4 linked regions of the Macaca mulatta genome follow. The protein of the gene in region 1 interacts with the protein of each later gene in a pairwise test. Links are inferred from orthologs where the notes say so. Each region holds a gene or a part of one and is shown on either strand. Other genes may lie near its edges. The genes, in order: TXN2, TRIM21, PPCDC and RBM45.

The links.
Region 2: the proteins of TXN2 (region 1) and TRIM21 interact in binary tests that used the Homo sapiens proteins (3 or more experiments, as listed by UniProt). The two-hybrid records come from large-scale screens. The link is inferred for Macaca mulatta from reciprocal best matches to the Homo sapiens genes TXN2 and TRIM21.
Region 3: the proteins of TXN2 (region 1) and PPCDC interact in binary tests that used the Homo sapiens proteins (3 or more experiments, as listed by UniProt). The two-hybrid records come from large-scale screens. The link is inferred for Macaca mulatta from reciprocal best matches to the Homo sapiens genes TXN2 and PPCDC.
Region 4: the proteins of TXN2 (region 1) and RBM45 interact in binary tests that used the Homo sapiens proteins (3 or more experiments, as listed by UniProt). The two-hybrid records come from large-scale screens. The link is inferred for Macaca mulatta from reciprocal best matches to the Homo sapiens genes TXN2 and RBM45.

Annotation. Positions count from the first base shown.
Region 1 is NC_133415.1:15,067,078-15,074,792, forward strand, and holds the start of TXN2 (thioredoxin, mitochondrial), read left to right. Parts: upstream 1-3,083; 5' UTR 3,084-3,152; intron 3,153-3,410; 5' UTR 3,411-3,559; coding exon 3,560-3,568; intron 3,569-3,874; coding exon 3,875-4,137; intron 4,138-7,715.
Region 2 is NC_133419.1:71,424,207-71,432,076, reverse strand, and holds the start of TRIM21 (E3 ubiquitin-protein ligase TRIM21), read right to left. Parts: upstream 4,002-7,870; 5' UTR 3,992-4,001; intron 1-3,991. UniProt on the Homo sapiens protein: E3 ubiquitin-protein ligase whose activity is dependent on E2 enzymes, UBE2D1, UBE2D2, UBE2E1 and UBE2E2.
Region 3 is NC_133412.1:52,973,667-52,981,713, reverse strand, and holds the start of PPCDC (phosphopantothenoylcysteine decarboxylase), read right to left. Parts: upstream 4,363-8,047; 5' UTR 4,348-4,362; coding exon 4,111-4,347; exon of another isoform or gene 4,027-4,110; intron 2,031-4,026; exon of another isoform or gene 1,992-2,030; intron 533-1,991; exon of another isoform or gene 407-532; coding exon of another isoform or gene 380-406; exon of another isoform or gene 56-379; intron 1-55. UniProt on the Homo sapiens protein: Catalyzes the decarboxylation of the cysteine moiety of 4-phosphopantothenoylcysteine to form 4'-phosphopantotheine and this reaction forms part of the biosynthesis of coenzyme A.
Region 4 is NC_133417.1:83,059,409-83,066,693, reverse strand, and holds the end of RBM45 (RNA-binding protein 45), read right to left. Parts: coding exon 7,217-7,285; exon of another isoform or gene 7,177-7,216; intron 5,272-7,176; exon of another isoform or gene 5,226-5,271; coding exon 5,033-5,225; 3' UTR 5,025-5,032; intron 1,863-5,024; exon of another isoform or gene 1,825-1,862; 3' UTR 1,569-1,824; downstream 1-1,568. UniProt on the Homo sapiens protein: RNA-binding protein with binding specificity for poly(C). May play an important role in neural development.

The sequences.
Region 1 (7,715 bases):
TCCACATCCTGCAGTTTGAAAACCACTGCAATAAATATTGGTAACAGGTAGAAGTTTTACCCTTAGCCCAGGCTGCCAGTCCTGGCTTCCTTCCCTTTGCCTCACAGCTGTGCCCTGAGCCTGCTTTTGACTAAGCCAGACCCAAGCCTGTTCAGCTCTAGCTGGACAGAGGAGCCACCATGTAGCTGAGAGCCCCTTTGTAGGGTGCCGAGAGCTCAGCCTTCTCTATGTGTCTCACAGGCTTTCCCTGCATGAGTCATCAGGCAGCAATGACATGGATTCTGTCTCTACTGCAACCCACAGCCCAACTGTGAGAAAGGCATTATTCTTCCCATTGCTCAGATGAGAAACCTGAGGCCAATCAGGGTGAAGTGACTATGGGAAAAGGACAAACAGGACTGGTCCTCCTTTGAAATTCAGAATGTGAATTAAGCGGCAAAATTGGCTCTCTAGAAAATACTGTGGAAGTGCTGAATAGGACTGATAGGTAGCTGTGGAAGAGAAAGTGCTAGAGACAGAAAAGCAGATACAAAAATTGGCAGGGCGGCCGGGAGCGGTGGCTCATGCCTGTTATCCCAGCACTTTGGGAAGCCGAGGCGAGCTATCACTTAAGGTCAGGAGTTCGAGACCAGCCTGGCCAACATGGTGAAACCCAGTCTGTACCAAAAATATAAAAAATTAGCCGGGTGTGGTGGTGCTCACCTGTAATCCCAACTACTTGGGGGGCTGAGGCAGGAGAATCGCTTGAACCCAGGACGTGGAGGTTGCAGTGAGCCAAGATCATGCCACTGCACTCCAGCCTGGCTACAGAGCAAGACTCCGTCTCTCAAAAAAAAAAAAAAAAAAAAAAGAGGCCGGGCGAGGTGGCTCAGGCCTGTAATCCCAGCACTTTGGGAGGCTGAGGTGGGCAGATGACGAGGTCAATAGATGGAGACCATCCTGGCCAACATGGTGAAACTCCTTAGCTGGGCGTGGTGAGGCATGCCTGTAGTCCCAGCTACTCGGGAGGCTTAGGGAGAAGAATCCCCTGAACCCAGGAGGCAGAGGTTGCAGTGAGCCGAGATCGCGCCACTGCACTCCAGCCTGGGCAACAAGAGCCAGACTCTGTCTCAAAAAAAGAAAAAAAGTATTGATCAACAATTGAGAAACTGCCTGTTCTTTTCCTTTAAAAACGCGCGGCCGGGCGCGGTGGCTCAAGCCTGTAATCCCAGCACTTTGGGAGGCCGAGACGGGCGGATCACGAGGTCAGGAGATCGAGACCATCCTGGCTAACACAGTGAAACCCCGTCTCTACTAAAAATACAAAAACTTAGCCGGGCGAGGTGGCAGGCGCCTGTAGTCCCAGCTACTCGGGAGGCTGAGGCAGGAGAATGGCGTGAACCCGGGAGGCGGAGCTTGCAGTGAGCTGAGATCCGGCCACTGCACTCCAGCCTGGGTGACAGAGCGAGACTCCGTCTCAAAAAAAAAAAAAAAAAAAAAAGCCGGGCGCGGTGGCTCACGCCTATAATCCCAGCACTTTGGGAGGCTGAGACGGGTGGATCACGAGGTCAGGAGATCGAGACCATGCTGGCTAACACGGTGAAACCCCGTCTCTACTAAAAAATACAAAAAACTAGCCGGGCGTGGTGGCGGCGCCTGTAGTCCCAGCTACTCGGGAGGCTGAGGCAGGAGAATGGCGGGAACCCGGGAGGCGGAGCTTGCAGTGAGCTGAGATCCGGCCACCGCACTCCAGCCTGGGCGGCAGAGCAAGACTCCGTCTCAAAAAAAAACAAAAACAAAAAAAACAAAAAACAAAACGCTCTTTCAGCTGCTGCTAATCCAAGTGTATATTCAGGACAACTTGAATCTCTGCTCCAAGTTGCAGTCTTCGAACTTGACCCAAATAAACTCCCTGCTTAAATTAAGCTCGCCTCAGTTTTTGTTTTCCTTTAGGTGGACACAGACGAGGGCCATTTAAGGATGACCCCTAAACCACGGGTGAGTTCTTTTACATATAAAGGGCACCATGCCTTTGAAGAGCTTAGCTTTACTTATTAAATGAAGAAACAGAACCTGTCAACATCTGTAGGAAGTGGACGGCGCCAGTTATAAACAGGAGGCTAAGCAAAGTGACTCACGCCTGTAATCCCAGCACTTTGGGAAGCTGAAGCGGGCGGATCACTTGAGCTCAGGAGTTCCAGACCAGCCTGGCCAACATGGCGAAACTCTATCTCTATTAAAAATACAAAAATTAGCCCGGCGTGATGGCGCGCGCCTGTAATCCCAGCTACCTGGGAGGCTGAGGCAGGAGAATCGTTTGAACCCGGGAGTTGGATGTTGCAGTGAGCCGAGATCGCGCCACTGCAACTCCAGCCTGGGAGACAGAGCGAGACTCTGTCATTAACCAATAAATAAATATAATTAAAATCAAGCAACAGTAGTTGACAAAATCAAAAACCACGGGGACCTCTCAACTGCCTTTTCTCCCTTAAGCACCCTTCATTGCTACCCCGGCGCCATCACCTCCTCTTCCGGTCCCTCCTCTAGGGCCCGCCCACCCCTTCCGGTTCCGCCCCGCGCCAGCCTTCGTCTCGACCAGGGCCTGCCCGCCTCTTCCAATCCCTCCCCCGACGGCCTGCCCATTGCTTCCGGTCCCTAGTTGAGGCCCCGCCCTTTCAGTTGTGCCTCCTCCCGCCATTCCTATTGGCGGAAAATCCCAGACGCTCCTCAAATTAGAGAGGGACAGGTCGGGGGCTGTGGCTCACGCCGGTAATCCCAACACTTTGGGAGGCCGAGGCGGGCGGATCACGAAGTCAAGAGATGGAGACCATCCTGGCCAATATGGTGAAACCCCGCCTCTACTAAAAATACAAAAATTAGCTGTGCGTGGTGGCGTGCGCCTCTAGTCCCGGCTACTCGGGAGGCCGAGGCAGGAGAATCGCTTGAACTCGGGAGGCGGAGGTTGCAGTGAGCCGAGATCGCGCCACTGCACCCTAGCCTGGCGACAGAGCGAGACTCCGTCTCAAAAAAAAATATTCGAGAGGGATGGTGTTCCGCCTGCCTGTCCCCGGAAGTGACGTTAATGTCCGCCTCCCTGAGGAAGTGACGACAGGAGTGCCCTTGACAGGCAGGGAGGGCTAAGCTGTGCATCCCTCCGCTCGCGTTGCAGGGAGGTAGGAGCTCAGTGGGGCTGGCTTGAGATGGTGTCGTGATAGGCATGCCGCGAGCGCGTTCCTGCGCAGGCTGGCGGCCGGACGGGTGGGGGGGACCTAGCTCGCCGGAGAGCCGGGGTCCCTGGTGGCGTCCGATTTTTCCCAGTTCCCTCCATTCATGTCCCTTCTTTATTAGTTCCCTCCAGTACATGTCTCTTCGTTTTTGGTTCCTACCATACTCTTAGATCCTCCTTCAATTGTTGCGTTTCATCTTTTCAGACGACCCTGGGTTCCAGTGTTGGCTGTCAGTAGTGGGGTTACTTTGGGCATGTCACTTAACTTACTTGAGCCTCGGATGCCTTTCCTTATTTGCAATGTGGGCAGTACAATAGCAACTTCCTCAAAGTTGCTGTAGGAAGATCAAGAATATGTGTAAGGTACTTGGTCCTTACATAAATTATTAAATGTTGGTTACTCCCTCCCGTTCTTCTGTTATAATCTAAATCCCGATTTCTTTTTGGTTGTGAAGCCAGTTTTCCTGTCCTTCTGGTTTGCCTAGCTATTCCTTTCCTTTGTTTCTCAGCTTCCTCACTTCTACGCTACAAATCTTACATATTATTTCCTTGCATTTTGCTTCCCACTCTGCCTCTTCTTGAGCCCCGACTAATCCCCAAATCTCTTTATTTTTCTAGTGTGTCAGCTTCCTTTTGTGTGCCCCAATTCTTCTGCCTCTTCCCTCACAGATGGCTCAGCGACTTCTCCTAAGGAGGTTCCTGGCCTCCGTCATCTCCAGGAATCCTTCTCAGGGTCGGTGGCCACCCCTCACTTCCAGAGCCCTGCAGACCCCACAATGCAGTCCTGGTGGCCTGACTGTAACACTCAACCCAGCCCGGACAATATACACCACCAGGATCTCCTTGACGACCTTTAATATCCAGGATGGACCTGACTTTCAAGACCGAGTGGTCAACAGTGAGACGCCAGTGGTTGTGGATTTCCACGCACAGTGAGTATTGGGGGTCCACGGAAGACTAGGGTCCTACTTGTTCAAGTATTTGTTGAATGCCTGCTATGTCCCAGGACCATGTTCTATGCTGCTCATATGTAGACTCAGTATACAGACTGGTCAGGCCTAGTCCCTGCCCTCAAGGGGAGTACAGTCTAGTAGAAGACAGATGAGTGAACAGTCTGCAAGCTGACTGCAGTTAGTGCTGGGAAACACATGTTCTGTTTCTTAATGTCCAGAAAGCTCAGCGTCATCTTCAACATGGACCAGAGTTGGAAAAATATGACTGTCACCTTGCTTTTGGTGTATATCAGTTCCTGGCCCTGCAGATGAGTTTATTTTAATACCTTGCCGTGAAAACTGCAAGAAGGGCTGGCAAAAAGTTATCAGTGTCGGCCGGGCACAGTGGCTCACACCTGTAGTGAGAGGCCAAGGCACACCTTTGAGAGGCTGAGGCAGGCAGATCACCTGAGGTCAGGAGTTTGAGACCAGCCTGGCCAACATGGTGAAACACCATCTCTACATCCAGGTGTGGTGGTGCTCACCTGTAATCCCAGCTACTCGGGAGGCTGAGGCAGGAAAATCACTTGAACCTAGGAGGCGGAGGTTGCAGTGAGCCAAGATCATGCCATTGCACTCCAGCCTGGGCAAAAAGAGCGAAACTCCATCTCAAAAAAAAAAAAAGTTAGTGTCATTACCATGGTGTCCAAGCATACAGGGCATAGGAAGGAGTGTCCTTTCAGTGCTGTCTTGAGTTTGCTTTAGAGATATTTAAGTCCCTCTGGCTTTCTGATTTTTAGCCTGGCCTTTTTTGTTTCTAGACCTTTGGGGCCTGGCTAGAGACCCAGCTACACAAAAACTGGACAAAGCCCTCTGAATGTGGCATCCTGGGAGAAACCAGTGTAGCAGAAGTTAAAAATTCAGGGGCCTTCAGGTCGGGCACAGTGGCTCACACCTGTAATCCCAGCACTTTCAGGGGCCAAGGCGGGTGGATTACCTGAAGTCAGGAGTTCGAGACCTGCCTGGCCAACGTGGTGAAACCCCCGTCTCTATTAAAAATACAAAAATTAGGTGGGCCTGGTGGCGGCCACCTGTAATCCCAGCTACCCAAGAGGCTGAGGCAGGAGAATCACTTGAACCTGGGAGGTGGAGGTTGCAGTGAGCTGAGATTGCGCCATTGCACTCTAGCCTGCGTGACAGAGGGAAACTCCATCTCAAAAAAAAAAAGAAAGAAAAAGAAATTGAAGGGCCTTCTGGTCAGTCTCTGACAGATTGTTCTGCCATCTTTCCAGTTGTTTCTCTGACTTACCCTGTGGCCTTGGGCAGGCCGCTTGATCTCTTTGTGCTCCCTTCTTCACTTGTAATAGGAGATAAGGTCTTGCACGCTGGGTTTTTAGGTGTTATGAGTTGTTTTTGTTTTTCTTCTTTTAGAGACAAGGTCTCACTCCGTCACCCAGGCTAGAATGTAGAGTGCAATGGTGTGATCACGACTCACTGCAGTTTCTACCTCCTGATCTCAAGCAGTCCTCCCACCTTGGCCTCCCAAAGTGCTGGGATTACAGGCGTGAACCACTGCACCAGGCCTGAGGGTTTTTTTTTCTTTTTTTTGTTTTTGAGACGGAGTCTCATTCTGTCACCCAGGCTGGACTGCAGTGGCTTGATCAGCTCACTGCAACCTCCGCCTCCCAAGTTAAGACGATTCTCCTGCCTCAGCTTCCCAAGTAACTGGGACTGCTGGTGCCTGCCACCACATCCAGATAATTTTTTTGTGTTTTTGGGAGAGACGGGGTTTCGTCATATTGGCCAGGGGTCTCTTGAACTCTGACTGCAGGTGACCCCCACCCCCCACCACCTCGGCCTCCCAAAGTGCTGGGATTACTGGTGTGAGCCATTACTCCTGGCCTATTTTCAGCATTTAAAATCCTCAGGCCTGACCAGGCACGGTGGCTCAAGCCTGTAATCCCAGCACTTTGGGAGGTCAAGACAGGTGGATCACGAGGTCAGGAGATCGAGACCATCTTGGCTAACACGGTGAAACCCCGTCTCTACTAAAAATACAAAAAAACTAGCCAGGCGAGGTTGGCGGGGGCCTGTAGTCCCAGCTACTTGGGAGGCTGAGGCAGGAGAATGGCGTAAACCCGGGAGGCGGAGCTTGCAGTGAGCCGAGATCCGGCCACTGCACTCCAGCCTGGGCGACAGAGCGAGACTCTGTCTCAAAAAAAATAAATAAATAAAAAATAAAAATAAATAAAACCCTCAGGCCTGACTGGATGTAGTATGTACCACCACACCTACTGCTCAGGAGGCTGAGGCAGGAGAATTACTTGAACCCAGGAGGCAGAGCTTGCAGTGAACCAAGATCGTGCCATTGCACTCCAGCCTGGGCAAAAGAGTGAGACTCCATCTCAAAAATAGATAAATAAGTGCTGAGAATAAAATAGGAGTTGTCAGCCAGGGGTTTGTGAAGGGTGGAACTGTTTTGGCCTGCTGGTGTAGTGAGCATTCCAGAGAGGGCTTCCGAAATGCACGATAAATGGGGTAGTGCCTCATTTTGTTTGGTAAGGAAGTGGGGTGTGAGTTGTTCATTCTTTGCCAGGCACTGTCCTTGGTGCCACATACATAGAGATGACAGCACCAGGCCTGTCCTGGATGAGCTTCCCCAGCAAGAGGGGAACCTGTGATCAGGGCAGTGATAGTGGTCAACTCAGGGGCTGTGGGATCACAGAGTAGCCTGTGGGTGAAAGAAAACACTTTCTTTTTTTTTTTGAGACAGAATCTCTGTCGCCCAGGCTGGAGTGCAGTGGCATGATCTCTCAGCTCACTTCAACCTCCGCCTCCCAGGTTCAAGCGATTCTCCTGCCTCAGCCTTCCTAGTAGCTGGGATTACAGGTGCCCACCACCACTGCTGACTAATTTTTGTATTTTTAGTAGAGACAAGGTTTTACAATGTTGTTGGCCAGGCTGGTCTCGAACTCCTGACCTCAGGTGATCCGCCTGCCTCGGCCTCCCAAAGTGCTGGAATTATAAGCGTGGGTCACCGCACCCGGCTAAAGAAAACACTTTCAACACAGCTTTGGGTTATGATCGATCCCGGCTGTGCTTCTCTAATCTTGCACTGGTTTCTTAACTCGTATGGGCTTCAGTTTCTTTGGAAGGTGCGTTCTCTTTGCAGAGTTGAGGGATGTGTTTGGTAAGAGCAGAAAAAGTGCTTGTCCAGGGACTGGCGCGTTGTAGACACTCCTGGCCATTGGTTCCCCTCCTTTTAGTTCTGAGTCCACATGGTGTTTGCAATAACCCCGCAGCTTCCAACGCATGTTTACCCACATTGCCTTAGTTGATCTCTCCTAATAGCTTTGAGAGCCATAATCTCTCTTTTTCAGATGAAGAAACTAGGACCCCAGAATAATCGGCTGGTTGGTGAGGAGCCTCTGTTTGAACCTTTTAACTTCCAATCCCATATTCTTTTTTTTTTTTTGGGACGGAGTCTCGCTCTGTCGCCCAGGCTGGAGTGCAGTGGCCGGATCTCAGCTCACTGCAAGCTCTGCCTCCTGGGTTTACACCATTCTCCTGCCTCAGCC
Region 2 (7,870 bases), on another chromosome or scaffold:
ATGCATTTTGTATACCAGCTCAGCCACAGTAGAATAGGGTACTGGTCAGAGTCATAAGGTCTTAGCTCCTGGATGACATTTTTAGATACACCCTGGGCCAGAAGGGAACCTGCTACCTTAAAGGAAAGGAAGCAGTCCTGGCAGCATTTATCACCTGCTAACTGAAGCGCCTTTAGGCCCTGAATAAACAGCAGCAATACCCAGGTACTATGTCAAGGGACTTTGAACCTCTGAGACATGCTGGCTTCAGGTAAGACTCAGCCCATTACCAGCTGTGGTAGCTATGGGGCAACACTTCCACTTGAGCAAAGCAGAGGGTAAAGTGTGCCAGCTCAGGCATGGTGGGAGGGGGTAGAGTATGAAGCAGGCTGTTGAGGTCCCCAGTTTCAGGACTTGACTGAGGTGGCATTCCTGGACCTGTCCTGGGCCAGAGGGGAGCCCACTGCCCTGAAGGGAGAGTCCCAGGCCAGGCAGCTTTCACCACAAGCTGACTTAAGAGCCCTGGGTCCTAAAGGGAACATTGGTAGTGGTCTGACAGCATTTTCCATGGGCCTAAGGTGGTGGTAGCCATGAGGTGAGGCTCCCCTGCCTTTGGAAAGGGGAGAGAAAGGTGGGAAGGACTGCATCTTCTGTTTTTGGTGCCAGCCCAGTTGCAGTACAATTAGAATGCTGGGTAGACTAAGGTTTTTGACTCTAGTCCCTGAGAAAGTATACAATGGAGCTTTCATATATCTGGCAGCAGACTTTTTAGTGGAAACCATACAGACCAAAACATATTTAAAGAGCTGAAGGAAAAGAGACTTATTCCAGAATATACCTGACAAAAATATTCTTCAAATGTCAAAAAGAGATAAGAATTTCCCAAACAAAAGCTGAAGGATTTAATCAACACCAGACTTGTCTTACAAGAAATGCTAGAATAATACTTCAATCAGAAAGGAAAGATGTTAATGAGCAAGAAGAAATTATCTGCTCACTGGTAATAGTAAGTACATAGAAAAACAAAGAATATAATTATACTAACTGATGTGGAGACTACTCTTATGCTAAGTAGAAGGACTAAAAGATGATCAAAAATAACATCTTTAAGAAATAGTACAATAAGATAGAAATAAAACATTAAAAAGTCAGGAGATTATATGGTCTAGCTGTGTCTCCACCCAAATCTCATCTTCAATTGTAGCTCCCATAATCCCCATATGTTGTGGGAGGTAATTAAATCATGGGGGTGGGTAGGTTTTTCCCATGCTGTTCTTGTGATAGTGAATGTCTCATGAGATTTGATGGTTTTATAAAGGGCAGTTCTCCTGCACATTCTCTCTTGCCTGCTGCCATGTACAATGTGCCTTTGCTCCTTCTTTGCCTTCCATCATGATTGTGAGACTTCTACAACCATATGGAACTGTGAGTCCATTAAACCTTTTTTTTTTCCTTATAAGTTACCCAGTCTTAGGTATGTCTTTATTAGCAGTGTGAGAACAGACTAACACAGGAACAAAGTTTTAGTTTTAGTTTTTTCTTATTTATGTGAACAGGATTAAGATATAATTGGCATAAAAAATGGGTTGTAAAGATAGTATTTGAAGCCTCATGGTACTTTCAAACCAAAATCCTACAATAGATACACAAAAAACAATAAATTAGTCATATTACCAGAGGAAAAAAAATTCCTGGCCAGGCATGGTAGCTCATGGCTGTAATCCTAGCACTGTGAGAGGCCAAGGTGGGTGGATCACCTGAGGTCAGGAATTCGAGACCAGCCTGGCCAACATGGTGAAACCCTATGTCTAGTAAAAATACAAAAGTAGCCAGGCGTGGTGGCAGGCACCTGTAATCCCAGCTACTTGGGAGGCTGAGGTGGGAGAACTGCTTGAACCTGTAAAGCAGAGTTTGCAGTGAGCCAAGATCATGCCACTGCACTCCAGCCTGGACAACAGAGCAAGACTCCACCTCAAAAAAAAAAAATTACCTTCACTAAAGTGAGACAGGAAGGAAAGGAGGAAGAGAAGACTGTACAACAAGAAAACAGCAAGATGGAGTTACGTCCTTACTTATCAGTAGCATTAAACATAAATGGACTAAACTCTCTAGTCAAAAGAGTGGCTGAATGGATGATAAAAACAAGACCTAGTGATCTGTCGCCTAGAAGAAACACTTCATCTATAAAGACAGACTGAAAATACAGAGATGAAGAGAAATATTCCATGCCAATAGATACCAAAAAAGAATGAGAATAGTTACATCAGACAAAGTAGATTAAGATGAAAACTAAGAGGCAAAGGTTGCTATGTAATGATAAGGAGGTCAAGTTGTGCAAGAGGTTACAACAATTTTAAATATATATGCACCCAACACTGAAGGACTCAGATACATAGAGCAAATATTAGAGCTAAAGAAGGTAGGCCCCAATACAATAATAGCTGGAGACTTCACCCCACTTTCAGCATTGGACAAATCTTCCAGACAGAAAAAGAAATACTGGACTCGATCTGCACTATAGACCAAATGGACCTAATAGAGAACATTTAGAGAACATTTTGTGCAGTTACTACAAAATACACATTCTTTTCCTCAGCACATGGATTATTCCAGGATAGACCGTATGTTAGGTTACAAAACAGGTGCTAACACATTCAAAAAGTTGAAATAATGTTGTGATAGTTAACAAATGTCAACTTGATTGTATTGAAGGATGCAAAGTATTGTTCCTGGGTGTGTCTGTGAGGGTGTTGCTGAAGGAGATTAACATTTGAGTCAGTGGACTTGGAAAGGCAGAACCACTCTCAATGTGAGTGGGCACCATCTAATCAACTGCCAGTGTGGCTAGAATAAAGCAGACTTGCTGAGTCTTCCAGATATTATCTTTCTCCTGTGCTTCTTCCTGCCCTCAAACATCAGACTCCAAGTTCTTCAGCTTTTGGACTCTTAGACTTACACCAGTGATTTACTAGGGACCTTCAGCCACAGACTGAAGACTGTACTGTCAGTTTCCCTCCTTTTAAGGTTTGGGGACTTGGACTGGTTTCCTTGATCCTCAGCTTGCAGACAGTCTATTGTGGGACTTCACCTTGTGATCATGTGAGTTAATACTCCTTAATAGACTCCCTTTCATATAGACACCTATCCTACTAGTTCTGTCTCTCTAGAGAACCCTGACCAGTACAAATGTCAAGCATCTTCTCTGACAGCAGTGAACTAAAACTATAAGTTAATAATAAGAATTTTGGAAACTATACAACTACATGGAAATTAAACAATACACTCCTGAATGACCAGTGGTCAACGAAAAAATTAAATTGAAAAGTTTCTTGAAACAAATAGAAACAACATACCAAAATTCACAGGATATAGTGAAAGCAGCAAGAGGGAAGTTTATAGATGTAACTGCATACATCAAAAAAGATGAAAAACTTTTAAAAAAAATCTAATGATGTATCCGATTAATAGCCAGAATAAAGAGCTCAAACTCTATATGAAATAAAACCTAGTAATCTGAACCAAAAAAGGGCAAAATATTTGAATAGACATTTCTCAAAAGATGACATACAAATGGCAAACAGGCATGAAAAGGCATTAAACATTACTGATCAGAGCAATGAAAATCAAAACTATAAATCTCATCCCAGTTAAAATGTCTTATATAAAAAAGACAGGCACTAACAAATGCTGGCGAGGATGTCAAGAAAAGAGAACCCTCATTCACTGTTGATGGAAATGTAAATTAGTACAGCCATTCTGGAGAACAGTTTGGAGGTTCTTCAAAAAACTAAAAATAGAGCTACCATATGGTCCAGCAATCCACTGCTGGGTATATAGTTGATGTAATTTTGCTGTGTCTCCACCCAAATCTCATCTTGATTTGTAATCCCCACATGTTGGGGAAGAATCTAGTGGGAGGCAGTTGGATCATGAGGGCAGTTTCCCTCATGCTGTTCTCATGATAATGAGGGAGTTCTCATGAAATCTGATGATTTAAAAGCATTTGGCAATTCCCCCTGCTTGCTGTTCTTCTGCTGCTTTGTGAAGAAGGTGCCTGCTTCCCCCTTGCCTTCTGCCATAAGTTTCCTGAGACCTCCCCAGCCACGCAGAACTTTAAATCGATTAAACTTCTTTCCTTTATAAATTACTCAGTCTCAGGTATTCTTTATGGTAGTGTGAAAATGGACTAATACAATATCTAAAAGAAATGATATCAGTATATTGAAGAAATTTTTTTATTCGCATTTTTCTTGAAGCACTGTTCACAATAGCAAAGATTTAGAAGCAACCTAAGTGTCCATCAACAGATGAATAAAATAAATGTGGCACATATAAATGAATAGTGGTCCATTGTGTATAAGAATGAGATCCTGTCATTTGCAACAACATAGATGGAAATGAAAATGTTAAGTGAAGTAGCACAGGCACAGAAAAACAAATATTGTATGTTCTTAATTATCTGTGGCATTGGGAAGGTTACAGGAGGGGTAAGGTGGGGATGGTGAATGGGTAAAAAAATAGAATGAATAAAATCTATTATTTAATAGCACAACAGGGTGACGAGTTAACAATAATGTTACAGCACATTTCAAAGTAACTAAGTAATTGAATTGTTTAACACAAAGGATAAATGCTTGAGGGATTGGATACCCCACTCTCCATGATGTGAGTGTTATGTATTGCATATCTGTATCAAAACATCTTATTTACCTCATTAAAATGTACCTACTATGTACACACAAAAATTAAAAATTAAAAGAATTAACCTGGAATAGCTATATCAACTACAGTCAAAGCAAACTCCAGAGAAAGCAATATTATTATGCATAAAAGGGAATGTATGATAATGATGTCAAGTCTATGAAAAGACGAATTTTTAGTGTGTATGTACCCACAATAGATCAAGATATGTGAGGCAAAAAACTGAACTGAAAGAAATAGGTAAATCCATTATTAAAGGTTGAGATTAATGCCTTTCTCCATCAGTAATGCATCCAGCAGATAAGGGTATGGGGAAAAAATAGAAAAGCCAGTTAACACTGAACATATTTTAACCAACAGTATTCAATCGAAATGCACACAATATATTTAAACAGTAGAATATACATTCTTTAAGTAAACCAAGTAGAATATTCACCAAGTAGACCACACTTTGGGCCGTAAATCATATCTTGGACATTAACATTGATTAAGAACTTCTTTACTACTGATTCAATTTCTGAAGCTTTTCAGGGTTTCAATCTCTTGATTCACTGTGAATTTTCTAATTTGTGTGCTTAAAGACATTCATAGTAGTCTCTGGGGATCTTCTGCATTTCTTTGGGATCAGTTGTAATATTATCTTTGTTATTTCATTATGCTTATTTGGATCTCAATCTAGTTAAGGGTCTATTAGTTGTGGTTTATTTCCCCCCCAAAGAATTCTTGGGTTTATCGACCTTTTGTTTGGATTTTTTGTATCTTAATTTCATTAGGTTTTTCTCTAATGTTTTTCTTCTGCTGGCACTGGGAATTTTTTTCCTAGTCCTTTTAAGGTACAAAGTTAGATTGTTAATTTGAGCCCTTTGCAACTTCTTGATGAAGGTATTTAGGGCTATAAACTTTTCTCTTACTGCTTTGGCTGCATCTTAGAGATTTTGGTAAATTGTATCTCCATCTTTGTTAATTTCAAAGAATTTTAAGTTTCTGCCTTAATTTAGATGTTTGCTTAGAAGTTATTTAGGAGTAAGTTGTTTAGTTTCCATGCATTTGTGTAGTTGAGAGAGCTTTTTGATATTGGTTTCCATTTTTATTGACCTGTGATCCAAGGGTGTGCTTGGTATGATTTCATTTTTTTTGAACTTGAGACTTGCTTCATGACCAAGTATGTGGTTAATCTCAGAATATGGTCCATGTGCAGATGAGAAGAACATATTCCATGGTTATGGGGTGTTCTGTAGATGTCTATTAGGTCCAGTTTTCTGAGTGTTGAGTTTAAGTCCAGAGTTTGTTAGTTTCTGTCTCAATGATCTGTCTAATGCTATTGGTGGGGTGTTGAAATCTCCCACTATTATTTTGTGGTTGTCTAAGTCTTTCTGTAGGCCAAGTAAAGGAGAAAAGAAAACCCTTGTATGCTGTTGATGAAATGCAAATTGGTATGACCATTGTATCAGTCTGTCCTTACATTGCTATAAGGTGCTATCTGAGACTGGGTAATTTAAGAAGAGGTTTGACTCACAGTCCAACAGACTTAACAGGAAGCATGACTGGGAGGCCATAAGAAAGTTACAATCATGGTAGAAGGCAAAGGGAAAACAAGCACTTCTTCACATGGCAGGAGAGAGTGTGAAGGCAAAAGTGCCACACACTTTTAAGCCATCAAATCTCGTGAGAACTCACTATCACAAGAACATCGAGGGGGAAATCCGACCCCATGATGCAATCACCTCCCAGCAGCCCCTCCTCCAATTTGACATGAGATTTGGGCAAATCCAAACCATATCAGCCGTTATAGAAAACCTCTTGAGGAATATCCATGCAGTTTACAGAACATAAGACCCAGGAATCCCTCACTTGGTACTTACTCAAAGGGAGACCCAGGAATCCCTCTACTTGGTACTTACTCAAAGGGCATGAAATCAGCACCTTGCAGAAATAACCACACTTCCATGTTCATAAAATTGTTATTCACAATAGCCAAGATATGGAATCAACCTACTTGTCAATTGACAGATGAATGGCTAGAGAAGTTGTAGCATTACTAGATACTGCCATTTGTGACAATAGCATGATGTCCTCAACTTCATCTAAGTGAAATAAGTCAGACACAGAAAGATATGTGAAATTTAGAAAATGTCAAAGACAGAAATGGAGTGTAGAACTGGTTACCCAGGGCAGTGAAGGAGAAGAAACAGGGAGATGTAGGTGAAGGGTACAAAGTTGCAGCTATAAAGGATGAATAAGCCTAGAGAGCTTTTGTATAACATGAGGACTGTATTTGTATAATGAAATATTAACTTATTTTCTAAGAGTAGATTTTTGGCATTCTTACCACAAGAACAGGTAATTCTGTGAGATGATATATTGTTAATTTGGCTGCAGTAATAATTTCATTATGTATAACAAAACATGTTTTATAACTTAAAATATGGATTAAAAACTTCCTGGTCAGTGGTAAAATTTTATATTTACCCTGAATTTTATAGGGATCACTAAACCAGAATGGAAATGAAAGTGGGGAGGAGCGTTCCAAGATGGCCAAATAGGAACAGCTCCGGTCTGCAGCTCCCAGCGTGATTGATGCAGAAGACGGGTGATTTCTGCATTTCCAACTGAGGTTCCTGGTTCATCTCACTGGGACTGGTTGGAAAGTGGGTACAGCCCATGGAGGGCAAGCTGAAGCAGGGTGGGGCATTGCCTCACCTGGGAAGTGCAAGGGGTTGGGGGAATTTCCTTTCCTAGCCAAGGGAAGTCATGACAGATTGTACTAGGAAAATCTGAACACTGCAACCTAAACACTGCACTTTTCCAATGGTCTTAGCAAATGGAAGACCAGGAGATTATATCCCACTCCTGGCTCAGCAGGACCCACGCCCATAGAGCCTTGCTTACTGCTAGTCGGAGATCCAACTATGAGGCCGCAAGCCTGGCTGGGGGAGGTGCATCCACCGTTGCTGAGGCTTGAATAGGTAAAGTGGCCAGGAAACTCGAACTGGGTGGAGCCCACTGCAGCTCAAAGAGGCCAGCCTGCCTCTGTAGACTCCACCTCTGGGGGCAGGGCATAGCTGAACAAAAAGGCAGCAGAAAATTCCACAGACTTAAACGTCCCTGTCTGACAGCTCTGAAGAAAGCAGTGGTTCTCCCAGCATGGTGTTTGAGCTCTGAGAATGGACAGACCTGCCTCCATAAGTGG
Region 3 (8,047 bases), on another chromosome or scaffold:
GGAGAGACTGGAGGGTGAGAGGAGCTGCTGCAGTGGACTGGGCTAATGGAGAGACTGGAGGGTGAGAGGAGCTGCTGCAGTGGACTGGGCTAATGGAGAGACTGGACTAGGAGAGGATGGGTTCCAAAGATGCTCATGTGGTGGAACCCTGGGCAACAAGGAGGTTTGGGTGCTCCAGGGAGCCAGGAGATTTACCTCTCTGTCCCTGTTTGTTAATCAAGATGGGCACCACCGTACAAATCAAAGCCCAAGAAGAAACCAGCATAAAGAGGATGCAGGCCACCCCAGGAGACCAGCTGGTTTGCTTCTTCCTCTGACTCTCAGACGTTGCTAGAAGTGAGTGCTCTTGATAATATGGCTGATGGACACCAAAACCTACACGTTGCAGGTTGGGCCAGCAGAACATGCTTCATCAGCAACCATCACTGAGGACCGATTACACTGAACACCATGCAAAAGAATTGTGGAAAACACAGTAGCTGCCTCTGGGGAATCTGTAGGTTGAGTTCGAGAAGACAGGAATCACACCTGTCTGAAATTATCTGATATCAGTCCTTCCCTGGGATGTACCTTTTTGGTGATCACAGACTCAATTTACACATCAGTTTCCTTGCCTCTCCCTCCACCAGCAAGCTCCCTGAATGTGTGACCAAGTCTAATTGCCAACCAGCAGTCCACTAGCTGGCAGTCCTGAACATGTGCTGAATGAATAACTATACCCTCCAAGGCAGTGTGGGGCAGAAGACAGATACCCAGCCTGTGAATCAGAAGCCCTGGGCCCTGACCATGGTGTGCTCCTGACCTGGAGTGACCTTGGTCCAGGGTCATTCCCTCCCTGGACCTGTCCCTTCATCAGAAAAATGAAGAGGTAGGACCAGATGATCTCTGAAGCTCCTTCCAGCAGAAACTTTGACTCGATACATGAAAGAGAGCAGTAAGGGCCTCTCCGTACAAGACAGAAGGTCCTAGAAGATACACTTTAAAAAGAACCAGCAGGGCAAGGGAAACCCAGGCAGCTGCCCAGGAAGCAATGCTGGTGAGTCGCCCAATGGCTCCCTCCATGGCTGAGCATCCACAGGGGCCTGTCTCCTCTTCGCTCACAGGCCCCTTGGCTCTCTAGCCTCTCTGCCCAGGATTTGCCTTCAGTACTTGGGCACAACCCACGTGGGCTGAGGATCATGCTTGGCTGCATTATCCCACTTCTCAGCAGGGGTTAACCACAGGCTGGTTCCCTAGGGCAAGATCACCCAAAGTTTGATTTGCCAGTAATCTCAATGTTTGCTCCACTGCAGGGCAATGCTTGGTCAGAGTTGGAGAACTCAGTTTACTCCAGGGAGTGGGGAACCCTGTTAGCATCTGACAAGGTACAGAGGGCCTACCAGCCAGCTGCTTCCCAGAACACATCATTGGTAGATGATGGGAGCACGTTGTTTATTCTCCAGGGAAACCTACCTGCCAGATCTCAAACCCTGACCCTGTCCCACCCTAGCCAACTGGTGCTAGGATAGGTAGATTCCTGCAAAACCAGAAGCCAAATTTTATCTCTGAGGCCCCTGAACCTCATCCGCATCAAGCTGATCTCATTCCTAGGAAACAGGTTACAGAAAGCAATCAGTTAAATTTGGGGCAGGAATCTGTGTTAGTGACTTCAACTGCTTCCCCACAGCAGGCACTATAGTCCGAAATATAGTACTTAGCCTGCTTAGTAAAGCTGTGCTAAGGATCAAACCTACCTACCTTCCTAAAAAAGAGGGTGTGTGTGTGTATGTGTGTGTTTAATATACTTGAGGAATAGAAAGTGGATCATTTAACCAACATTTGGAGGCGAGGTCAAATCAGTTCAACCTGAGAATTCCAGGAAGGGTGACGGCTGGCAGGATTCCTTTGTTTGCTTGCAAAGAGGATCAAATTCCAAACCAGTAAGTCTATTACTCTAACCAGATCCTGTTGGAGTCACCTATTTGCACGGGAAGGGTAGCTGGAGACAGTACCTCACTTCCCCGGGCTCTGCTGAACTCACAGGAACTCCTGAGCAGCAAAAAGAGTTGGCAAGCAGGCAGATTATGGGGCTACAGGCTGTGATTACTGAGCCTCAAGATCCCAGGGCACCAAGCCAAGCAGGCAAGCCACAGCCAGAAAAATGGCAGCTTCTCTATCCTCTAGAAAGACAGGGACAGACAGCGCAAAGAGCCTCGGCTTGTGTGTTTAAGTCTCCTCTGATGAGTTTAATTCAGGGCAGAGTTTTAGGTTTCAGGGATACCTGCCAGTCCCTATATGGGCAAAGGTGGAGCTGGCACAGAACAGACTAAAGACGGGAGCAAGGAAAGCAAGGTCAGACAGGGTATACATTCAAGCTCAATACAGGAAGGATGAGAACTGAGCCTGAGACAAAGCAGAACCAAACAAGGGAAGTGGGTGGTGGGTAGGCAGGGATCCAAGATCCATTATGAGCCCGAATCCTTTAGCCTAACATCAAAGCCCCTCACTACCAGCCGCCCAGGGTTCTGCTCCAGCTTACACCTGTAATCCCAGCAATTTAAGAGGGCAAGGTGGGGGGACTGCTTGAGCCCAGGCAACATAGCAAGACCCCAGCTCTACAAAAAATTTACAAATTAGGTGTGGTGGCACATGCCTGTGGTCTCAACTACTTGGGAGGCTGAGGCAGGAGGATCACTTGAGCCTAGAAGGCTGCAGTGAGCCATGTTTTTGCCACTGCACTCCAGCCTGGGTGACAGAGACTGTTTCAAAATATGTTGATAATAATAAATTATTATTGTAATTTATATTGTATAATTTAATAATAAATTATTATTAAATTGTACCACAATAAAAAAGTGTGTAACTATTTACATAGCATTTACACTGTATCAGGTTTTATAAGTAATCTGGAGATGATTTAAATTATATGGTGGGGCGTGGTAGCTTGGGCCTGTAGTCCCAGCTACTTGGGAGGCTGAGGTGGGAGGATCATGTGAGCCCAGGGAGTTCGAGGTTGCAGTGAGCTATGATCACACCACTACACTCTAGCCTGAGCAACAGAGTAAGACGCTGACTCAAAAAAAAAAAAAAAAGAAAAAGAAAAAAGAGTATACGGGAAGGCTGATGTGGTGGCTCACATCAGTAATCCCAGCATTTTGAGAGGCCAAGGGAGGAGGATTGCTTGAGCCAGGAGTTTGAGACCAGCCTGAGCAACATGGTGAGACCCTGTCTCTACAAAAGTAAAATAAAATAAAAATTAGCCGGGTGTGGTGGCTTATGCCTGTGGTTCCAGATACACAGGGGACCGAGGCAAGAGAATCCCTTGAGCCCAAGAGGTCGAGGCTGCGGTGAGCTATGTTCCCACCACTGCACTCCAGCCTGGGTCACAGAATGAGAAAAAAAAGTATACAGCAATCCCCTGCGGATACTGAGGGATGAATGTATCTAACACACACACTCACACACGTGGGCTACTAGAAAGGCAGTGATTGCGTACTGCTACTTTCCAGCCACTGTGAGAGAGATGGAAACCCCTGGTCCAAGACACCCACCACTTCCCCAACCTGGGAACCTCTCCGGCTCACCATCTAGCACCTGCTTCCAAATACTTCAAGGACAGCAGGAAGTTCTTTTTCGACAAGATTTGGCCTAATTTTTAAACGGCATTCTGCACTTTTTGGCAGGCCTAGGGCTACTTCCAATATCCCATGGCTTTCCTTTTTTAATTTTACCAACTTTTAAAATACACTTTGTATTTTGGGCAGCCCGAGTAAACGCTAAGTGTGAGGAGCTGACACGGCCATCATTTAAACTAGATTAAACGACGCTGGACAAATAATCGCAGAGCAGCACAAAGTTGGGCTGGACGTGCACAGATGGAAACCCTCCACTCCGGGCTCTGGAGTCCCTCCTGCTCCAGGCGGCCCCACCCGTACAGCCGGGAAACGGAGGTCGCACACATGCACAGCCGTCTACCCACGCACAGTCGCAAGCAGAGCTTCATGGCCACAGAGGGGAAAGTGAGGACACACACAGACAGCCACGGACCCACGCTCGCAGACACAGCTCCCCGAACCTCTCCTCCCGCGCCGCCGCGAGAACCCAGCTTCCCGGCCCCGTTCCACTGCTCACCCGCGCCAGGCGCGTCTCGGGGTCGACCCCAAATATCGCGGTATTTCTGCCGCCCTCCCGCGGAATCTGACTGTCACGCCTCACGAGAGCACCGTGGGGGCTGTGTGTCGCGCAGCCTTCTGGGAGCTGTAGTCCACTTCTCTGTCTTCCAGGAGTTATAGTCCACTGGGGAAATCCTGGAGCAAACCCTGGCTTCCTGTTCTTTGTATTGCTGGGACTCTCGATAGGGGCTGGCATAACTGTCCGACCGCCTCTCCTCACTCCTATCAGCCCCATACACACTGCTCGTTGCTTGGAGCCTTTTTTTTTTTTTTTTTTTTTTTTTTTTTGCTGTTGTCCCAGGTTTATTGAATATATTACAGTATCCCGAAAAGATTCAAACAGCTCTACATGGCGTTTTGAAATTCATCCCCACTGTCGGCTGAGTGACCTGCAGGTTGGACAGACTGCCAAAGTCCAAAAACATCAGCATTTCCTTAATATCAGGATCTGTTAATACTTCAGTGATCTCCTGATCCAGGCCTGAGACCTCGGGAACATGATCACCTCTCCTTTCTCTCTTCTCCTCCTGCAACTTGATGGAGATACCTCTCACTGAGCCCTTCATATCACCTTCATCACATGCATGTTCTAGCCTGCTATCTTGTTGGGGAGCTTTTTTTTTTTTTCCTTTTTGAGACAGGGACTGGCTCTGTCACCCAGACTGGAGTGCAGTGGTGCTATCTCCGCTCACTGTAACCTCCACCTTTCGGGCTCAAGCCATCCTCCTATCTCAGCCTATTGAGTAGCCGGGACTACAGGAGTGCACCATCATGCCAGACTAGTGTTTGTATTTTTTGTAGAGACGGGTTCTCACTCTATTGCCAAGGCTGGTCTCAAACTTCTAGGCTCAAGCAATCTGCCCACCTTGGCCTCCCAAAATGCTGGGATTACAGGAGTAAGCCACCGCACCCAGGCCTGGGGAGCTTTTTGCTGGAAATAATGGTGATCTCCTTTCACATGTGCTTGTTTGTGTGGAAGTTGCTGCCCGGGTGCGTGTAGTACTTTTTTATGACGGAATATAGAAAAGGGCCATCTTCACGGTGTTAGTGTGAATGGGGCCCATGTTGGCAGGTCCTTAGTAAAAGAGGGCTCGGGGCACTTAATGCTGAATATTTACCAAGGTTCTTCTATTTTAGGTGCACAGGATACACACAGGATACAGGATAAATCAGATGCGTCCCTGTTCTTGACACAAACAGGGACACAGAAAATGACAGGGTAAGATCCTCCATGAGGAAGCAACACCTCCAGGCAGGAAAGCCTTCTTGAAGGAGTGACTTGAGATGAATCTTGAAGGACAGCCAGGAGCTTAGATACAGGATCCCAACAGCAATCCAGGTGGAGGGCATCGAATGGGCAAAGGGAAGGCAGCAGGAGAATGCACATTGGGCATGCTTCCCTGCCCCTTTCATTTTTTAGCCTTCACAGGCCCCAGAAACCTCTGTATTCATTGAGGTGGCTAAAGCAGCTGTGGGTTCCCTGCCCTGAGCTGAGGTGGGGCCTCTGCTCTACCCCTGCCCTTGGCTGCAATGGACCATCTGGGCCAAACCATCCCTTACCCAGGGATCCAGCCTGCTTTTTTTTTTTTTTTTTTTTTTTTTTTTTTTTGAGATGGAGTCTTGCTCTGTCTCCCAGGCGTGATCTTGGCTCACTGCAAGCTCTACCTCCCAGGTTCACGCCATTCTCCTGCCTCAGCTTCCCAAGTAGCTGGGACTACAGGTGCCCACCTCCACGCCTGGTTAATTTTTTATATTTTTAGTAGAGATGGGGTTTCACCTTGTTAGCCAGGATGGTCTCAATCTCCTGACCTCGTGATCCACCTGCCTTGGCCTCCCAGAGTACTAGGATTACAGGCGTGAGCCACCACGCCCGGCTGATCAAGCCTGCTTCTTCCACTTCCTCCCCCCAAGGCAGGGGGCCTCGGTGGCAATTTCATCACCTACGCAAGGCTGCATCAGATAAAGAGCCACACAGGGTCGTATAGCTCTAGATCCCAGGAATGACAGACCACAGACCCACCCAGCCCCCATACTTTCATGCCCCTGCCCCACAGCCTGCCGTGAGGCTCCACGCAAGCCCACAGGAAGACACATGGCACAGCAGAACACACAGGGCCAAATGTTCCCCTTTATTATGGTTCACTCAGTTACCAAAGACAGACACATTGGCTCAGGCAGCTCAACTGCCAGCTGGGGAACATCCAGCTCCAGAAATAGGGAGCAGCAGCGGCACCAGGAGAATAGCAAAGCAGGTCACTGGGACCCCAGAACTGACCTGGGCCCTCCTCCACTTGACCCCAGGCCAGACCTTCCTGCAAAGATGAAATGTGTGCCCTGCCCCCACTTCTCATACTGGTTCCCTCCCTGGGAGAGTGCATAGTTGCCTGGAGATGCAGCATCCCAGGGCCTGAACAAGCTGGGCCACACACCAGGATCAGGCTTTCCCAAGGGTAAAGCCAGAGCGTGGCCATATAGGTCTGAGCCAAAGAGGCAGGTAGGACAGGATATTGATTGGAGGTAACATCCAACAGGTCATGGGTGCTAAGCAGGGAGCTAGATCACAGGCCTCCTGGAGCCACCAGAGAGAGAAGGAAAAGGGAGCCAAAGGTCTCAGGTAAGAGAGAGGAAGGGAAAGGGAAGAAGGGCCTAGACCTAGGGTCCCTTTTCAGGTACCAGGGACTGTGACCATTGCTCCCTAGAGAGAAAATGGGAGAGAGGAGAGGTAATTATATTTTGTGGCCCAAACCTAAAGGACCATCAGGAAGAGAACTTCCAGAGGTCCCTGGCTCAGGGTGGCCTGGAAGCCTAGGTGTTGGGTTCCAAGCTGAAGCCAGGCCAGAGTAGCCAAGCAGGGTTTGGATTTTTGTCCAAACAGCTCAGGCAGGCTTCTGTTGGGAGAAGGGAAGGTGGGAAATGGGCAGATGCTCTTTGGGTGAGAACCCACTCCCCTTCAGGCCCTGCACACAGCTGGAGCCTCTACCAGCCATGTTCTTATACTGCTTGGAATAGAACAGCCCCATGGGCCTAAAGCCACTCTCCTGAAAGTGCTAGGGAGTTCTGACTGGGTGAGGACAAGCCAAGACCAAGGTCTGTAGGCAGAGGGGAGCAAGTTACCTTGATTTGGAAAACAAAACAAAACTAAAGCCAGAGAGCCTCGCCTCCCACCCCACCTAACCTGAAATCCCATTCAGGCCATTGTGCTTGCAGCCAGGACTGGGCCTGTGCTTCTGCTTGGGCCCTGAGTTCAAGTGCCCAGAACTGCCCTGTGACCAACAGCAAGTCAGGGTGGGGGAAGGCATGCTCCCCTCTCACTGGGCCCTGCCTGCCTTCTCCTCTGACCTTCCCTCTGGGCCTAGCCCTCTGAGCCCCTGTCCCTTCTACCAGATCCAAACAGAACAGCTACTGCTCCCAGGAATCCAACAGTCACTGAGAGACACCTAGATGCCCCAGTGTGCTGGAGCCAGCCAGACCTTCCCCAGGGACCAATCATTACTGACATGCCCTCTGCTCCAGCTGTGCCTTTACATCTGACAACTGCCCAGCATGTCCCAACTCCTCAGGGAAGGCAGTAAGGCAGATGCCACCTGGCACATGGTGCGGTCAGGGTAGGAGAATCAAGCTACAGCAGCTGGGGGCATGGGGAGGAGGCAGAGGGACATATGCAGAGGGGCTCAAGGGGGCTCTGGGGAGAGAAGGAGGAGAAGGCAGGGGAGAGAAAAAAGGAGCCTGCCCCTGCAGACCAAACTCTCAGGCCCAAGTAGAAACCCTGCATTTCCATCCCCTGGGTGTCAGTTACCCAGGTGGGCTCTGCACCCCCAGCTGTGTGCCCCTCCTACATCAGGGGTAAGGCCCAACTCCCTCATCAGCTTCCTTGAACTGTAAATCAAGTTAGATTT
Region 4 (7,285 bases), on another chromosome or scaffold:
AAAACTGAACTATATGTACCGTAAATGAGTTTGGTATAACTACACCTATTTTTGGTAATTAATCCACAGCTCCCCTCATTTAGGTTTTTCATTACTTTAAAAAAAAAAATTAAAAACAAAGAAACGGAGGACAGTGGCTATTCACAGGTATAATAACAGCACTCTATAGCCTCGAACTCCTGGGCTCTGGCACTCCTATTGCCTCAGCCTCCTGAGTAGCTGGGACTACAGTCACGCGCCACTGCACCCAGTTTTGCTTTCTCTTTAAAATACATCCTCTGACTCACAGAAAGATACCTGGCCCAATTCTTATCAGCAGTTTTGCCTGTGATGATAAGACTAAATTTTCTTATCTAAATTTGCTAAAATCACTGACTTTTAAAAGAAAAGATTTTAGTTTTCCAGTGGAGATGTCCAAGTATAAGATACTCAATTATTAAGATGGCTGAATTTAATCTTTCATCGTTAGTTTGAGTCAGAATGTGAGTATAATGAGGAGATAATTATGTTTTAACAAATGCATATTATTTATAATACCTTTTTATAAAAAGTGCCAAATGCTTGATTTAGATATACCTTTTTGATACATATCAATTCAACTCCAGAGCTAATAAAATTTTTTTGTTAAAGTTTTAAAAATACAAGCAGAATAGATCCCTAATTTTAAATCTTTATTTAGTTTTAGTTTTTATTTTTGAGACAGGGTCTCGCTCTGTCATCCAGGCTGGAGCAGTACTATTGTGGCTCACTGTAGCCTCGGTCTCCTAGGCTTAAGCAATCCTTCCACCTCAGCCTTCTGAGTAGCTGGGACTATAGGCACACACCACCACGCCTGGCTAATTTCGTAATTTTCTGTAGAGACCAGGTCCTCTATGTTGCCCACGCTGGTCTCCTCTTGAACTCTAGGGCTCAAGTGATCCTCCCACCTTGGCCTCCTAAAGTGCCAGGATTATAGGTGTGGTGAGCAAACCACCCCCAGCCCTAATTTTTAATCTTTAATTTCAAAATAACTATACCTCCTATTGTAGTCTGTTTTGAAAATTCCTTACATTTCATATTTTTGGAGTGGCTATTATTTCTATAAAGATAAAAATGTCCATCCCCCAAAGCCACTGACATTTATTTAAATTTATTATCAACAAGTTTTAATTTTTTTTTTATCACTGTTCCCTTATAATCTTAAAAGAGCTTTACAAAATTACCAACACATTTTGGTATAACTAAAAAAAATACTGTATAAAATATTTCCAATGATTTTTGTCTTTTGTCCTTAGATTAAGTGTAAACAGTTAAGCTCCATGTATAGATTGAGTAGCAATTACCATATTTTATTGACTCTAAGATGCAATTGATTGAAAAAAAGCACCTTTTCATGTTTTATTAAGAAAGAAAATAAGGTTGTTAATTACATTATGCGATACAACTGATATCGAGATGCTTCTACTTTCAGGGGTGTTAGAATGAGAAAGATGTGCATCTCAAAATCAATGACATATGTCATTTAGTCAAATTCTAAAGACTGTCTATTGAATTTTTCCATTCTTGTCTTTCACATAAATAAGTCATCATTTAGTTAAGCAAAGAAAACTTTATTTCTGCTACACGTAACAACATATTGCTCTAAGGAACAACTACTATATTCGTTTTAGCATTAATGTATGGATTCAAAAATACATGTCAGCAATCCCTGCTTCCCAGACAAAACAATGCTGTACACAGACTATCAGGTATATGAAAAAAAAGCTGTCAACTGTCCACAGGGAATGCGTCCAGTCACATTTTCAGTCAGTCAGCTGAGGATTATGTCATTATTTAGTCTTTGTTCTGTAGAAAGAACACAACACAAGTATGAAAATCATCACCTGAAAGGAAAGGAAATAACTGTTGTAGTATTCCTAAAATGTTAGGAATTGTTCCTTTATTTCAATATACCCAATGTTATCTGCTTAATCATAGCTGCCCCCAAATAAAACCAAACTTACTCAGAAGGGCGATGCAGGTGCTGAATTTCTAGAGGGAAAGTGTTGTGAATTAATAAAAAATCCGATTCTCTGAAATACTAAAATTTCTATTTTCCTCAAATAGAGAATTACATTGTGGTTATCAGACCCATCTCAAAATAGAACTCAACTACTTTCAATGTTATATCCTTGGATCAGCTGCTTCTATTTCCTGGGCATGACTCACTTAATCCCAGGCCCATACCTCAGAGATAAAATAAACCAGCCTTCATGAATGGTGTTTGCAGCCTCTTAAAAATTAAAGAAACAAACAAAAAAGTGCACCTACCCCCCAAAACTTGTCACAATCATATAAAATTTGGGAAAGTCTTCCACAGTATTTTATCGAACCTTAAAATAAGGTAATATATTTATTTAATACACCAACAAAGAAGAAGAGTCTCATAATGGAGTCCATTGTAAATAGAAGATCCGCAGCAAAAATAAAAAAGCCATGCTGCAATTAAAAGAAATTCAAAACCGTGTAGCTAATCGTATCCTATCCAAATAGCCATTTCAACTAACCTGACCCCTATTTTATCTCTGCCCTGAATATGTGTAACAGTTCAAAAAAGGGAAAAATGATAGATTAAAATTTTTGTGAACAGCCATGCTGAATATGCAATTCCTCTAATGTAGGAAATTGGATGAGTTTCAGGGAAAAATGTGGTATTATAAGGCTTAGTTCTCACAGTACCAACTGGCCATGAGGTAGTTTTATATCATTATACTTTTAGTTTCTGATCATTTGGATGTCATTATTTTAGATAAGAGGACATCTCAAAGGTTTCACTGAAGCTACAAATGCAAGAGTTTTAGCTTAGACTTGCAAAGCCTTTTTTTCATTTTACAAGGAATTTTGTTGACTCATTGTCTCTCAAAAGCCCTATGAGAAAACTGGGGCTCAAAAAGGCAAAGAGGGTCAGGTGCAGTGGTTCATGCCTGTAATCCCAGCACTCTGGGAGGCCGAGGAAGGCAGATGACTTGAGCTTAGGAGTTCAAGGCCAGTCTGGGCAACACGGCAAAACCCTGTCTTACAAAAAAAAAATTACCCGGGCATGGTGGCACATGCCTGTAGTCCCAGCTACTGGGGAGGCTGAGCTGCGAGGACTGCTTGAGCCCAGGAGGCAGAGTTTGTAGTAAGCCAAGATCAGGCCACTGCACTCCAGCCTGGGTGACAGAGTGAGATTCTGTGTTTAAAAAAAAAAAAAAAAAAAACGGCGTAGAGACCAGCTCAGTCACAGTTAAATGGCTTTTTATTTTAAGCCCAATAATCTCTTTAACATGTAAATAATCATTAGAAAAGGTTCAACCATAAGAGTAATTTATATAGTTTTCTATACTGAGAAGTCTAAAGTCTATATTATTGTCCTTTTTAAGGACAAAGATTTATTGAGTAAAAGCAAGAACTATTTCCTATTCTTGAAATACTCACAGACTAGAAAAAACACATTTTTTGCATGCTAGAGAATAGCTTGTCCAAACAGAATTCATTCTTAACATTTTATCCATAAACAGGAAAAAATGCCTGCTAATTCTTTCTCACTGCCAATTTAATATATCCAGGGTTAAATTGCTAACAATGTATGGTACGATGAGAGTGGTTTTGTCATTTAATAAAACATTTTAAAAGATTTAAAAATTAGGATTATTCATAATGGGCCCAATGGGCACTTTCTCTTGTCAAATGCCTTCTATGAAGGAGGAACTAATTATGTGATCTGTTCTAGGAGAGGAAGGGTCATCAGCAGTGATGCCTGGCAGGATTCATTCTCATATGTGCTAGCTCACACAATTGGTCAGAAAGAAAATCTTAAGTGAAAAAAATAAAGGTTTCAAGCCAGTAACTTCAAACTGAATTCAAAGTGCCTGCCATCTACTACATTTGACCTATAGTAGACTTGGAAAGTTGGTGTGTGTGAACAGGAAAACAGCTTCCCCTGAAATTCAGAATTATTTTACAGAATAAAAAAAGCCAAACTTTAGGCTGGGCACAGTGGCTCATGCCTGTAATCCCAGCACTCTGGGAGGCTGAGGCGGGCAGATCACGAGGTCAGGAGATCGAAACCCGGTAAAACCCCGTCTCTACCAAAAACACGAAAAATTCGCCGGGTGTGGTGGTACACGCCTGTAGTCCCAGCTACTGGGGAGGCTGAGGCAGGAGAATCGCTTGTATCCAGGAGGTGGAGGTTGCAGTGAGCTGAGATCTCACCACTGCACTCCAGTCTGGGTGACAGACCGAGATGTCTCAGAAAAAAAGATAAAAAAAAAAAAGCCAAAGGAATATTTCCCCAAACCACACAGATATAAACTAACTGTCACAGTCAAAGAAATTGTAGTTTGATTTTTGGAAACTAATAAATAAAATAGGAAATGGAATTCATATGGCTGTATGTATCAAAATTTACAATAAAGAGTTTTTGGTAAATTGTTAGGTTTTCTTAAAAAATACATATATGCACACGAGAATATTTTCTGAAGGTACTGTTTTAATGCAAAAACTCACAAATATAAGTCCAGAAAACACCAATATTTAGGTTCAAAAGGTCCAAAAATGATATATTATTTGATATTGCTTTTTAGGCATTTCATTAGAGAGAAGTCAAAACATTATCTTTCTAAACGACTGTTATAAATTACCTCAATTCATAACTCAAGACACCAATTCTTCAAGTTAAAAATCTTTAGAAGTATTTCAATTTTTTTTTTAAAGCAATCCTTATTCTAGCACTGGACAATTTTAAAGTTTATATAAGCACATAATAAAAAGTCAAATTCTTAAAATCTAAGATTTCACAAACAAAAAACAATTATCTTTCTAAACTGAAATGTGGTTTTATTTTATAGAAGGGCAAAAACATTCTTCAGTAAATGTCAACAATTTTTAAAGTTTAAATAGTTGCAAAGCTCTTTTAACTGACAACTTCTAAATCACTAAAAAGAAAAGTTCATAAAGTACTTACACATATTCCTCATATACTATTTACTCAATATGTTTTAAAATTCAGATTAAAAAGGGCTTACCTCAAGAATCAGTAAGTTCTTTGCCGTTTGTTAGACTCTTCTCTTGGCGAATCTGCCAGCATAACTTTAAGTCTCACCCCATTCAGAATCTTCCCATGTAGAGTGGCAATAGCGTCATTAGCACTTATTCTATCGGCATACTTGGCATACCCCACATTTTTTCCTGATACAAGGTAAACTTCGATCAGGTTACCAAAACGACTGAAACAAAGTGAAAAAAATAATCAACCAAAATTGATAAATACAGCTTCTCAGGTCTAAAATTTGGAGTCCATTCTTAACTCCTTTTTCACCCTTCTCCCCACATCTGACATCCAACTCATGTCATCTTTTTTTTTTTTTTTTTTGAGATGGAGTCTCGCTCTGCCGCCCAGGCTGGAGTGCAGTGGCCGGATCTCAGCTCACTGCAGGCTCCGCCTCCCGGGTTCACGCAATTCTCCTGCCTCAGCCTCCCCAGTAGCTGGGACTACAGGCGCCCGCCACCTCGCCCGGCTAGTTTTTTGTATTTTTTAGTAGAGACGGGGTTTCACCGTGTCAGCCAGGATGGTCTCGATCTCCTGACCTCGTGATCCGCCCGCCTCGGCCTCCCAAAGTGCTGGGATTACAGGCTTGAGCCACCGCGCCCGGCCTCATGTCATCTTAAACATCTCAGTCAGTCAATTCTATTCATTCTCATTAAGACCATCATCTTTTCCTTAATCTAATTCCTTTTTCACTAGTTTCCTTAACCCTGGGCTTGTCCCTCTTCAATCCATTTTCCACTCTGTCTTTTCAGTGATCTTTCTAAAACATAAATATGATCATTTACTCCCTAAAAGTCCCCTCTGCAGCTCCCCACTGCCTCCATGGTGACAACAAATCCCTTAAGATAGCTCGAGAGCCTTTCTAACATGGTCCTTGGACTCTTTAGTTTCATCTTCCCTAACAATCTCTCAAATTACCTATCTAATAGCCCTTCTTTTATATTCTCTATGGCAGAAATAACCATGCACACTCCCAGCTTTCACCTGTGGAGAAATTATTTTTATCCTTCAGGTCTCCACATACACCTGCCTTCTTTCAAGGCTTCTCAGAGTTTCTAAGGTAACTGCTCCTCCTATGTATCTTACACATTCCTTATCACAGCAACAATCACACCGGGTTGTAATTTTCTGTTTACCTGTCTGTTTCCTACATGAGATCAGCTCTAAGATGACAAGAACTATAATGTCTTGTCCATTTAATATTTTGTTTACATAATGTCTCTTGTACTTAGCACAGTTCCTGCCTTGAACAAAGAAGAGGTTCAAGAAAAAAACTAAATATATCAGTTAAATAAAGGTCAAAACACTTGAACCATGTCCTGATTTTTTTTCCTTTTGAGCCTCAATATACTATCACATTATGTCCCTGATATTTTGTGCAGTTCTTTAACAAGTTTTCTATCTATCTAATTCACTAACATTCTTATAAGGCAAATGGGAAAAAGGCCTAAAAGAAAAATCGAAGAAAGGAGTTATGTTAAAAACACAAAAATAAATAAGAAACTTCTCTTTTTTATTATAAAAAACATTTATATGTATTTCCCTACAATCAAGTAATTGTTTACACAATGCAAATGGATAACCCTTAAGGATCCAACAATGCACCAACAAAACAGAAGATGCTTAGTAAAAAAAACACTAAAAACAAAAAGGGTCTCACTCTGTCACCCAGGCTGGAGTACAGTAGCACAGTCTTGGCGCACTGCAACCTTGACCTCCTGGGCAAAAGCAATCCTGCCACCTTAGCCTCCCAAGTAGCTGGGACCAAAGGCATGTACCACCATGCCTGGCTAATTCTTGTCTTTTTTGTAGAGATGGGGTTTTGCCATATTGCCCAGGCTGATCTTGAACTCCTGAGCTCAAGTGATCCTCCCACCTCAGCCTCCCAAAGTGTTGGGATTACAGGCATGAGCCACTGCACCAGGCCCATTTTATGTCTTCAAAAACAAAGTAGCAGGAAATTCTGTATGGAGCCTTAGGATGTGTGACTGATAAACAAGAGAAGAAAATAATCAGAAATTGAAAAAGATGATACAAATGAGGAGTTTTTAAAACCAGAGAACAAATCATCTCTACCTGATAGGTACTGGAGGAAGGAAGTGTCTAGATTATGAGAATAATTAAATTACTAGTGTAAATAAAATATAACAAAAAGTGTAACTTTCTTACCAGAATATATCTTCTAATACGTCTAAAGGTAAAGGATGAGGATTAAACACAATAAAAAGTCTTTCTTTC